Linked DNA regions of Tribolium castaneum. The protein of the gene in region 2 interacts with the protein of the main gene of each other region in a pairwise test. Links are inferred from orthologs where the notes say so. Each region holds a gene or a part of one and is shown on either strand. Other genes may lie near its edges.

Region 1 (6,211 bases), on a different chromosome or scaffold from region 2:
TGTCATCTTAATGAGTTCGCTTCACAATTAGAGTCTTCGCAAGTTTATTATTGGATCGAGTCTAATTCTGGAGCGCTTAGAAATCGGAAGTATTACTCAAACATTCCGGTGTCAATGAAACGACGTGTTAAATAGATGCGTCTTGAAACAAGAACATGTAGGTAGAAAAATTCCTGCCAGCTTGGAACCGTGATCACTTGCAATATACTTCCTGTTTTTGGCAGCGTCTTGTCCATTTCTCTTATAGATTAATCTTTTATTCAATGACCCAGATTTAAATTAAGCAGAAAATTGTTGTTCGTTCCAATTCCGAATCGAGAAACTTCAATTAAGTGCGCCCATAAACCACTCCAGGTGCGGCTAGTTCAAGACAAAACACCCTTTCCAAGTTTGCAGTTGTGGAACATTTTTGATACACGATCTTAAAAGAAAAAATCCCACAAATCCCTCCATTTATTTCGCGCCCTGCATTGGACATCTTCACTTTATTTCAAGGTGTAAAATACTCCAACCAGGAGAAATAATTAATTATTTTTAACTGAACAGAGAGGCATTAAAAGCACGCAAGGTTCGTTCCCATTGTTGCCATCAACATTTTGTTGGGGAGTAAATTTTTGAGTTTAATTCTCCGCAGTCACGACATGATGTGATTGTCCGGAAGGCGCAGGTAGTGTCGCTGAATGCGAAGGTCTGAGGAATTTTGCATTCACCGGCAATTCGTTCCAGCTTAATCAATGGAAATTAAGTAATCAGCATTAACGTCTGTCCGTGAGATTTGCCGTAATCTAATAAAGTAAGGCGGGGTACGTAGTAAAATCTATTAAGGGAGTTCCGGAGCAGAGAGCACATCGAAGACGTTTACAGCAGGTCGCAGTTAGCTCAACTTTACGGGCACGCCATCAACAGGATATTGGGATTTGGTGGCAGTAAACACCAATAAAGGCGCTGCTTTCAAACTGACCCCGCAAATAAAAGCAACTGCTGCCAATACGCGCTATAGGCCACTTAAGTTTTTCGATAAAAAATTGGAAAAATCTTAGAATACACCAGACGACATCTTTTGTGAAAAGTGCATACAGAACATTTTCGGATCGAGTTCCAAATCATTAAGTTTCGCTTTGAAAACATAGTTAAACGCCAAGTATTCACATATTTTCGGAAATCAAAGACTTCAAATGATGTGTATTAAAAATTTGTTGCGGTTTGGGACAGCATGACATTAAATCACACGATATGTTTAAAGAAAAGTCTTAAATAGATCCACTTTACTAAAATATGACCGTTAATGCCGTTTGCTGTTTATTTTCGGAGCGGCTGAAAATGCGCGATATGTTCCAGTGGTAATAATGTAGGAAATGTATGAAAATTACGAGGTGTGGTACATGTAAAATTAATTTGCTAATTTTAGTAATGACACAGAGGCACAACAACGTAAATGTGCTAAAAATGTGGCAGAATTCAAAGATCCACAAAAATCTAAGCATATATACCAATGAATGTGTTCTGTTTAGTCAAGGCCTTGCCCTATAAAATTCACAGCTTTTGTGGCAAACCATGTAAAGACCAATATGAGCATGTTCATAGGAGGAGCTCAGCTAACTTGCAAATCATTTGGGGGATTATGGAAATGTAACAATCCTGTACACCGTCTCGCGTACGATCTTATCCAATGGCAATTGGGTCAAACGGGAATAAAGTCTTATCTCTGGGATTACTAAAGTTTGAAAGTTTCAACTTGTTTACTTGCATTATGAAACGTAAGTCTTCCGACGAGATACAATTGAAAGTTGAATTTTTTTGATTTATGTTAAGCCATTTCGTTTAAATGTACCAGAGCGTAATTTAAGTTTTATGTGCAAAAAATACCTATCAAATTAAATTGTTTGTAAAAGAAATTAATGAAGGGGAAAGATGGGTTTGTGGCGTTCATTCGTTTTTAAATAATGACCTCGCAAATGAAGTGACGTAAAAAGCTATTACCAACGCTTAAACACTTTTCCGGATAACAGAGAATTTTTAATTGAAACTACGGCAATTTACAATTTTGTAATTGGAACATTAAATCCCTGGTTTTGAACAGCCTTTTGCTGGTAAATGCGTATCTACTTTTCTACTTATTACCTTAGTAATAATCAACAAATAAATGTATTAGTTAATACTAATGTTCACGTAAAAATTGATATTGTCTAATTCTGTTAGCATCATTTTAATTTTTTAATAAGATTTAATAATCCAATGGGTCTTTTTATTGGATGAGAAAATGTGGTACAATGTGTTGTGTTTAAAATAAAGCATCGTGATCCACAAAACAGCCATAAATACATGTCTGTATAAAATTAACAGCAATGTTTTGATCTTGAATATAAAAGTAGATGGGGTATACGTGAGTTCATTGGCATAATACCGGATGGAAAAACTAAAAGCAGAGATTGGCTATATCCGGTTTTCCAGTCATGAAAATTTAAGCAGGGTTGTGCGATAACACTAATAAATCTAAAATAAGCGTAATTTATTATTAAAGTGCAAATGTTTCAGCAATGCCGTTAGTTTTGATATTGACCACACCACATTTGCGACCGTAGCCATTAATTAAAATGCTAATTAAAAGCCGTTGAATTTTTTGCTTCCCAAGCTGCGAAAGATTCAAACGATAATGTTAGCCCAGCGCGTTTTTTCAATGGTCAACAATTAACTTAATCTTTCTAAAGCCTCACTCTTATGGAATTTATTTTAATTAATTTCGCTTCCTCTGAAAGTTTTTACGACACCGCTTGACAAGTTGTACCGGCGAAGATAAAACAAAAAAGTAGTCTAGTGTTCCAGCCACCGATCTAATTGTTCGCTCTTCTTTGCGGCTTTCTACAAAGAAATTAAAGTAGAGCAATAAACCCAAGGAACGCTCTATAACAATGCCATTAATTTTATTTATCTTGTCGGATGAAAATTTACATAGTTTTCCAACTAGCAAAATTAATTAATCCGAATTTGGACGTAAAAATCGGAAATAGCAGCTGCCATGTCCGTCTTGCATTTTTTATGAAACAGGAGGGTAAAACGTTTTGGCTGTGATGCATATTAATGAACGAGAAGACATTTTTCCCTTCGATAAGTGCCTGAATTAAATTTTAAAAGTTTCGCTCGTGTTGTGGTTTATTTTTGGTTGCTTTCGCAAACCGGGTTTAAGGATGATTTATGTTGCTTTGACAACAAAAAGAACGTAAAGTATTCTTTTAGAAACAATATTTATACCTGACAGAAATAACACGTGCCTGTCCTCGTTTGTGTGCACTCAAAAATAATACGCTTGTTTATTCGTCGAAATGTGTGATAAAATGTATTCCCCATGCAGGATGATTTTAATTATTTAAATAACACCCGAGCGCACAGTTAGTAAATTAACAACGTTGGGTAAATATCTGGAGCTGATTTCATAATAGTGAGAGACTGACCGTTTTGAATCCTCGATACATGATTCTAATTTCCTGTCGTGTGAACTTGGTGAGCCTGCAGAGGTCCTCTAGGGCAACAGGCACGGGCTTGGGCACCCTGGACGGCTCTATCTCGAACACGACCTCCTCGATAGGGCTGTCTGACGGCGTTGCCATGTCTTCCTTTATTCGTCGTGGGCTTGTGGAAGACACATGTTAGCATTCTCTTGCAAGCACCAACTATTCTATCATCTGCCGCATTCGCATTTATTCCGGTCCATCTCTCTATTAATAGAGGCCTAAGCTATCGAGCGACGATCTCCGCGTCTTTATTACCACATATTAATCTAACTAACGCATCACTTAATTATTGGTGTTGGATGTGGACGTTGTGTGTGGCGATGGAAACGGTTACGGAGCCACCGGATTCGTGGTAGGCATTTCCCGGATTCGCCCGGACTAGAACTGGTCCTGTATCTGAGCTGCAGACTGCGCCTTGTTTGCGCACGCCCTGATATCCTGACATTATTTCGAAGGAAAACGTGCAGAAGCACACTAGGCAAATGTAAGGGCGACTGCGGACGCGGAAACAGCTCCAGGAATTGAAGAAATACAAGTTCTTTCAACATTGAGTCAAATGGAAAAAAAAATTGAAAATGCCCAAAATGCCGGATTATCTTTGAATCAAAACTGACGATACGTGTGATAGTGATTAAGCAGAACGAAATTGTTAGTAAATCGATTCATAATAAAGAAAACTGTAAAAATCTTAAATGCTTCTCACTATTCATTGCAAATATTTAGAGAAAAATAACATTAAAAAATTATGATGTTTAAACAAATGTAAGTAATCCTAACACATGGTGTCTTGTATCGTTTATTAAAAAAAGATAAACACTGAACACATGTTTATTTTTACAGCAGCCAAATAACATGTATTATTGCAAATACGCTATTGAAATGCGACATATGTTTAACAAACTCATCATCTGAAAAAATAATAAACCAAAAGTCATTCATTTCTAGTTATATCCATGTTACTCTATATTTAACACTTTTATTGTCTGTTTTCATTCAGTCAATTAACTCGATATTATTAGGCAATAAATTTTTGTGTGGGAAATACATTATCAATTATAAAAGACAAATCATATTGTTGAATTAAAAAAAAATTGTAATGACTTGATGGCACCGCCATATTGAACGCCACGACTGATTCAGTTAGGTAAAATTTAAGATCACTTAAAATGCTAAATCACTTGTTTTTGCATTTTTATATTTTTGAAAAATAAAAAAAATATAAATTTTATACTAAAGGAATTACAAATTTTCGGCGTTACTTTAAACTTACTCTGTTTAGAATGAGCTTAAAATAACGCATAAAATTTATATTTTAGATTTAGGTTATTTTAAAAAAAAATTGAACAGATCAATTTTGTTTTTATTTTTTTATGACGTCATCATTAATATTATTAAATGTTTCCGAGAAAAACGCAAAAAAATGTAAATAGATAATTCAAAAAGCTTTCCAACGATAGTACACTTTATGGGGCTATCTCTAATAGTTCCGGAACTATTGCTCAAGAAATGTTCCGGGTACCCAAAACCGACAAAAACTGCGACGAAAATTGAAAAAATCAAACATAAAAAAATCGAACATTTGGACTTTTTGTGGACTTTTAACAACTTTAGTGGGTTGTTAAGACATGTAGAAGTCCATAAAAATTTTCAGGAGTTAGTTTAAAAAAAAATTTTTTTTCACCTCTTTGATGGGTAAGTGAAATGTACTCAGGAAATTTGAGCAAAAAAATTGAAAATTTTAAATCTCGTGAAAAGTTGGTATAATACAGAAAATGAGCCGCTGAATTCAATGGAACAAACCGCATTGCTCTACGACTTTTAGTTTTCGAGTTATACATTTTTTTAATAAATAAAATTTTTCACTATGACAAATGGCCACCCTAAATTTAGGCAAAAAATTTTAAATTTTTAATTCTTGTGAAAAATTGATATAATATGTAAAATGAGCCGTAGAATTCAATGGAACAAACCGCAATGCTCCACGACTTTTAGTTTTTTTTTTATAAATTTTTTTAGTGAAAAATTTGATCGCCTCTGTAGCCGGAACCGTTGCCCGGAGCGGCTCCGGGTCTAGACGAAAAAATAGATAAATTTAAGCGCTATCAGATGAATTTTTGTTCGTTGCTCTAAGTCTTATAGTTTTCGAGAAAAACGCAAGAAAAGGTTTCCATTTTCACTTTTTTTCAATTTTCAATCGCCAATTACGGCGAAACTATTAGAGTTATCGAGAAACAGAAAAATGAAAGACAACCGGAATAAAAAACTCTATAAAATGGCATAGGACTCAAGACGATATCTCGCAAAAAATTTTTCAATTTTCAAACGCCGATTACGGCCAAACTAAAAGAGCTAGAAGAAAACGGTTTGTTCCATCGTAAAAAGCACATCAAAATCTGTAAGATAGAATAGGTTTCATTTGATTTTAAGACACTTTAAAAATTGACCGATTTTAAGGGGGGGGGTGTTAACTTTTTTTAATTTTTTTTTCTTTTCTCATTTACGGCTAAACTATTCTAAAAAGTGAAACTGTTTTGACCCACACCTATGCAAAATGATCCGGAGAATCGATTGGCATCGAGAAAATTGCTAAATTCCTAATAGTTTTTTAGTTATGAATTTTTTTAAATTTTACCAATTTTTGCATTCAGCAGCAATTTGCTCGAAAACTATTAGCCGGAGAACAATAATCTTTTTTGAAAAAA
Region 2 (6,308 bases):
CACCTGCCCCATCTGCCCCCCATTCTTCAAATTCTGATTTTGATCGTGCCTGACCCCGTACCCCGCCTGTTGCAAACTCTGATGCGATCCGTGACTCGAATGCGAGTGCGCCCCCAATTGCGACAGCCCCGCTGAGGCCATGGATCCGGCTGGAGACACTTGCGGGTGCTCCCTGATCAGCCCCCCGTAGGCCTCCTGATTCCCATTCAAATGGTGGGGCATCTCGTGGTTGCTCAAAGAGCGCTCCGCAGGCGAGCTTTCCCTCACTTGGGGCTTGCTCATGCTGGGGTCCCTCCTCATGGAGGTGTACTGTAGTATCTGCTCCTCGGGCACTGCCGGGGGCACGTTGGTGTTCCTGTGGCGCAGTCTCGGGGGGCTGGAGGAGCGCAGCGAGTTGCTGCGTGCGACGTTGGAGGTTTTGGGGAGGAGAATGCCGTTGGGGGGGTTTTTGCCAAGGCGGCTGTCGGAGCGGTGGTCCCCTCTGACGATGGTTTTGAGGTCTAGGATTTCCGTGGGGGTTATTTCGGAGGGGTCCACGAGGGGCAGGGGCCGATTTGTTGATTTGAGGATTTGGTTGTTACCCACAATCGAGGCCCACTGCAGTGGCAGCCCCACATAGCGCCCCTCGCGTTTGTCAAACCCGGTGTGGACTCGATGCTCGAAGTTTGTTGGGGGCGAAATTTGCGGTTTCTTCTTCTTTTTCGAAAACATTTCGGTCTGAGACGGAATCACAAGTAGGTTGCTACGCCCCTTTACACCGTTTTTTACGACCAACGGTAACAGTGTCAACACACATAACCTGAACTCGATTGTTTATTTGATACGTCACGAGACATTTTCACACTTTTTTAGTATAGTAACTAGAGGGAAGGCACTAGTTTTTGATTATTTGTTGATTTTAAGTGAAATTAAAGACGAAAAACTGAGGAAATTAAGAAAACATGACACCAAAACACTCAACTTCGACGATTTAAGCGATTCGAGCGCCACTAACCGGTGACTTTCACAAGCGTGATGGAATTTCTTAGGGTGGGTTCACACGAATTTTCAAGAAGTTGAGTTGCGTAACGCAATATAAATCACACGAAATGTATAATTAAAGTGAGATTTGACTTAAGTAAATTCGATTATGGCCAATGATCGGGAGATAATTTATGGTAAATTATTTAATAAAACAATTCACAGTTATTAAAAATCGAGCAAGAGGAAATTGTTTAATGATTAGGTTCATTCATGCATTAAGTTGCATTAATTTTTAACTAATTAATTTTAATGACAATGATAAGTTCTCGTGTTGATATAAATTCAATCATGTAAAAATCAAGGATAGTTTGATAAAAATTGAGAACGGCGGAATTGTGAAAATTTTGAGATACGCCAACTCGATTTTTTTCTTTAATTTATGCTTCGTTAAATATTAATTTTCTGGTGAACACAATTAAGCTTTTTCTTATTATTGTCCCAGATATGCTCAAAGCGAGGCAATTGACGTCACTCTGACGCACCATTTTTTTAATTTTGGACCATCAGACCAAATCAGAACCAGATAAAAAGACATAAATTTTATTAAAAGCCAACACGAAATAAGTATCGAAATTACTGGTCGTTAAACGATAAACCCAATAAAACTGTAGTAAATAAAAATGAATAAACGAAAAGATAAGTACTGCATTAATGAAATGTATTATTTTATCGTTTTAAGGTCAAAAATCGATAATGTAAAAAAAAACATTGGTCACGTGTCCCACGGGCGGGCGGGAAATATGAATTAATTAAAGTTTCGTCTATTGTTTGGTATTAATTGAAACCGATTGTTTATTTTTTGTTAGTCAATAACCTTCCAACGGACGTCACTAATGCAATAAAATAAACAAATCATTTTATCAGTCTATAAATAAATTGGAATCGCACTTGCGGCATGTTAATCAATTGTTTGTGTTAACCTTTGCCATATTACTCAAAAAAGTTCCGATATAATTGTCAAAAGTCACTGAGAAATAATAGAAAATTTCCTCTGTGGCACGCTGTGACGTCAAATGGTTCTTCTAAGTCCCTTGTTTACTGTGTGTCATTATCTCTATTACAACGCTTTAATATTAGATATGTAATAAAAATAATAAAATAAACAGACCTTAAGTAAAACATGTGCGTAATTAATATTTATTCGGATAGGGCAATCGAGTTCAGCTTAAATTTAAGTAGCGCATGCGCGTCTTAAAAATGTGACAGCCCAATATTTTCTTTACTCTTTTAATCCATTAGCATTAGTTGACGGCCGGTGTCGGTGTCGAACGTTCTGTGAAAGTCTGTGCGATCTGTTCGAATCCACGTGACCGTCGTCTGGAACCACCCTCCCCTACAATGTCCCCGCGTCGAAAATGACCCAAAGGTACTAAAGGGATCCGAATCGTACTCCTCTGATCCATTTTTTTCTTCGTTCTTCAACTCGGGATAAACAGTTCGAAGGTCGCTGCTTACCTGCGAAATGCTATATTTTATACGAACGTAATTGCATTCCAAATACAGAAATAAATTAAGTGACTCCTATTAGGTCATCATTGTACGTGAATGTACCGGATATTGTTGATAATGTGTCGTTTGGGGCTATTTATATCGCGGTGGATAAATTGCCACCCGCGAGGAGAGGTACTCCAAGGCGCAAAAAGGACCACACGTGCTGTGGGAGGCACAAAAATTAAGCACGTGGGCAGCAAGATGGTCCCTTTAGTTTTCAACTCTTTTTCTAATTTTGAAATCTATCAACACCTTAAATGGAACCCCTTTATTTTACTTGCTTTTATCTATTATTTTTAGTTCAAGAAGTACTCCACACAACTACTTCAGCATTAATAAAAAAGGCTGTACTGTTTTATTTGATCTCTACAGTTTCAGCGATATTAGGTACTAAACTTATAGTGGCGGTACCATTTTTTAGGTATATGGGCTAATGATTAGTTGATTACTGATTAGAGTTTAATTGATTACGCTGTAGGAGTTTTTTTCTTTAAAGAAGTATTCCTACTCTTTTTGAACTGATGTTCAAAATATGAATTTAAAAAAATACTCAAAAATAGAGCATTTGTGAAAAATCTATTCCGCTTTCATTTAGAAAAAATATATTTCAAAGATCCACTATACCAACGTTCAGAGTAGCTTATTATTAGTTGTTTTATACATTCAAATTTTTTGTAATTTGGAAGTTCATGTTCGAATGCAAAAAAATACCTACAGCTTTTTGGAACTTTCAATCGATTAAAATAGAAAAACACTGCTCAAAACAATTAGTGAATATTTTATACATACTTTTGTTGACATCATTGCGAAATAGAATAATATAAACCTGTTAGATATTGCAAAATACTGTATTAAAACATCACAAAGCAACATGTGTATTTTTTTCTGAAAAAAAAGATTTATAAAAAACAAAACCTCAAATAGGTTTATTTTTTGAGTGAAAAAAAATAAATCCCTTCACTTAAGTAGGTAATTTTCAACCACTTAAATATTTTTAGAAGGGATTTTAGAACAATAAAATGAACATTTTTATGCCAAAATTTACGCCCGGGCACCTTTATGCCCTTACTTTCTTTTAGATTTTCTATAAAAAATTGGGAACTGACCTGGCCAACTTACTTCGAATTAATCAAATTTTATGTAAGTTGGCCATGTGAAGAAGATAGTGAATTTTTGCTAAATGTACCTATGAAAGACGCAATGTTAGTGATTTATTCGCCAAGAAAAATACGAAGCAAACGTTAATGGAATAAAATGTAAAAAAGAAAAGTCACGTTTTCCTTATTTAAAAAAGTATAAGTACCTATAATATTTTTTTAATAACAAAAGTGAATTTTTATTTCATGATCTTCGGTTCCGAATTTATAAAGAACTATTTTCTTCTCACCTACTAGAAGAATACTACAGTAGTTGGTTTTTTATTTATTTATTTTAAATAAACCTTCTTTTGATATTATCGGATGTTATTTTTTTATTTTATTTCTTCAAGTCTTCAGAACTAATCTATTGTTGCTACTACATTCCATTTCCTAAAAAATGTTTTAAGCCCAAAATACAGAAATTTTTTTTCTAGCAGAGTACCTAGTTTTCTTAAGACAATTTAGAACAGTTTTTATTCACTTAATCCCAAATGTCCTCTTACTTTAAAAATAGACTGTTCGTTTCATAATTATTTTTTTTAACTAAAAAATTGCTTTCAATGGGAAGTTCAAGAAGTACTTATTATAGAAGTCAACTTTTTTTTAATATTAATTTTTAAATACAGTTTAACTGCACAATGAATACAGTAGAACTGCTCTACTTACTCAAAATTAGAAAATATTTAATGGAGAAGCGTTTAGTTCAAGAAGTACCCATTGTAATTATTAAAAAATGTTCTCTTTAGGTTTCAGAGTACGAAGCTTACATATTCTCAGAAAAAAGACATGTTCTCTATGGAACATTTATTTTTTTATATTTATATTTTTTTACCAAAAAAAAAACATAATAAAACAAAAACTCAGGGTTGTTCAACTTTATTAACTAAAAATAATGAAGAGTTATCGAGATACAATAATAATTATAGTTTGGTTTATTTCTTTTACGAGTATATTTCCATATTGCTCCAATTAAAAATTCAGTAAAGCCACAATTTCCATTAGTTTCAAGACCTGAGCTTCAAATTTTTTAATCGGATTCGGTTGAAATAACTCCTTCCACGCCGCTAACCACTCGCACAATCAATAAAGTTTTGAACTTGCAAGTTACTATCAACTTAATGTTTACTTCGGAATTTATCAAATTATGCAACAAAGCTGAAGAATCTCGGAACAACGCCCAGAGGTCATCTAATCTCCGTTTTCCTAATTTTGGGCAACACGAAAGAATCACGTGTGGTAGTATCACTTCCCGCTGCGTACCTAATTAAACACCGGCGTGTAATTCTGCATGTTTATGCATAAATGAGTGACTCTTGAACACTCAAATCCAGCAATTTACTCAGATAACATTGTTCTCTCCTCATATATTATGTCTTTATTGCACCTCTCCAGCAAATAGCGTCATTCCGTGGGTCGGTCATACCGTTGTGCATCTTGCCACCAAGTGAGTACTAATTCACTTTTCTTCTTTCAGACCAACCTCCGGATGATTTCGTATTTGTAATGGAGTGGTAAGTGACAAGCCAGTTGCGAAACGTTCTGACGTCAATCCTAAATGACTTAATGTAATTGACCCACGAAGAGCGGCTTAACGGGGGCCCACTTGCTCTTAAATCCGTTCTTCGGTTTTATCGGTGCGCTGCAATATCAACGCCATATATGCCCGAGGTTCGGCCGGATTGAGGCCAATGATAGCCGAGCAAGGCCACCGTAAGGCTCCATTTCACGAGAGAAAGTCAGCAAAAGACTAGTGATAAACCCAGCACGGCAGAGGCGGCTCGTACCGAGAACACCACATCTAAAAAACTGCTTCTTATGAACAACGGTGTTTGAGTTAATTGTCGGACGCCTTTTACACCACTTAATGGCTGTTTTTAAAGTTGCACTACCGACTGCGCCAAATCGGCAAATGTTTAATTATTTGTTGGGCACGAGCCGCCGCTGGCAATAATCACAAAACAAACACGATAAGCCTCTTCAGTTTCAGTAATTTCTGGTCGCGTCGCGTGGAAGAGGCTTCGACGTCCTGGTGGTCCTCCAAGCACCACTTCGAGGACCTCCTGAGCCATGAGATGATGGCCAGCGAAGACTTGCGCGAGGTTCTTCGGCTGAAAGCCGAGCGACACCGCGAGTATTTCAAAAGTTTAGCAGAATGCGATAATGCCGGCGGTGAGGTTGCGGCACCACATGACGAGATGGCACCACCTAGCGCACTCGACGCTGACTTGGACGACGCGACTACAAAAGAACCCAAAAGGCAGCGCCGTACCGGGGTGTATGAACTCAAATCGGGGAGCATCTTCAAAAGTGTGAAACTCCTGAGGGAGAATTACATTGCCATGCTACAGAAAACGAAAGAGAGCTTCCTGGAGAGGGATGAAACGCTGCTTGCACCCCCCAGTGGGTACAGCACTGGCGCTAGCGACGACGAGCGCGAGACAAAGAATAAAGTGCAAAGGTGTGGAAGCAGCGATTCGGCGATGGGGCACAGCGAGGACGAGGGCTGGAGGGAGAGGCAGGACGTGAAGAGCCCCTACAGCCCCCGGGGCTCCATCGACCACGACAGTGTCCCAAGTCGCACTCTCCTCGAGTCGAAGTGCGTGCCGCTTCCGGTCGACCGGAAGTTCAGTGACTGTGCCAGTGATTGTGACTTTA

The links.
Region 1: the proteins of IP3K2 (region 2) and Kv channel-interacting protein 1 interact in a two-hybrid assay, tested with the Drosophila melanogaster proteins (2 studies listed by BioGRID). The link is inferred for Tribolium castaneum from reciprocal best matches to the Drosophila melanogaster genes IP3K2 and CG5890.

The regions. Positions count from the first base shown.
Region 1 is NC_087397.1:4,402,274-4,408,484, reverse strand, and holds the start of Kv channel-interacting protein 1, read right to left. Parts: upstream 3,909-6,211; 5' UTR 3,606-3,908; coding exon 3,450-3,605; intron 1-3,449.
Region 2 is NC_087402.1:3,991,755-3,998,062, reverse strand, and holds the start of IP3K2 (inositol-trisphosphate 3-kinase A), read left to right. Parts: upstream 1-2,242; 5' UTR 2,243-2,378; coding exon 2,379-2,389; intron 2,390-5,127; exon of another isoform or gene 5,128-5,156; coding exon of another isoform or gene 5,157-5,164; intron 5,165-5,634; coding exon 5,635-6,308. Other genes in the region: serine/threonine-protein kinase PAK mbt, read right to left, coding at 1-711.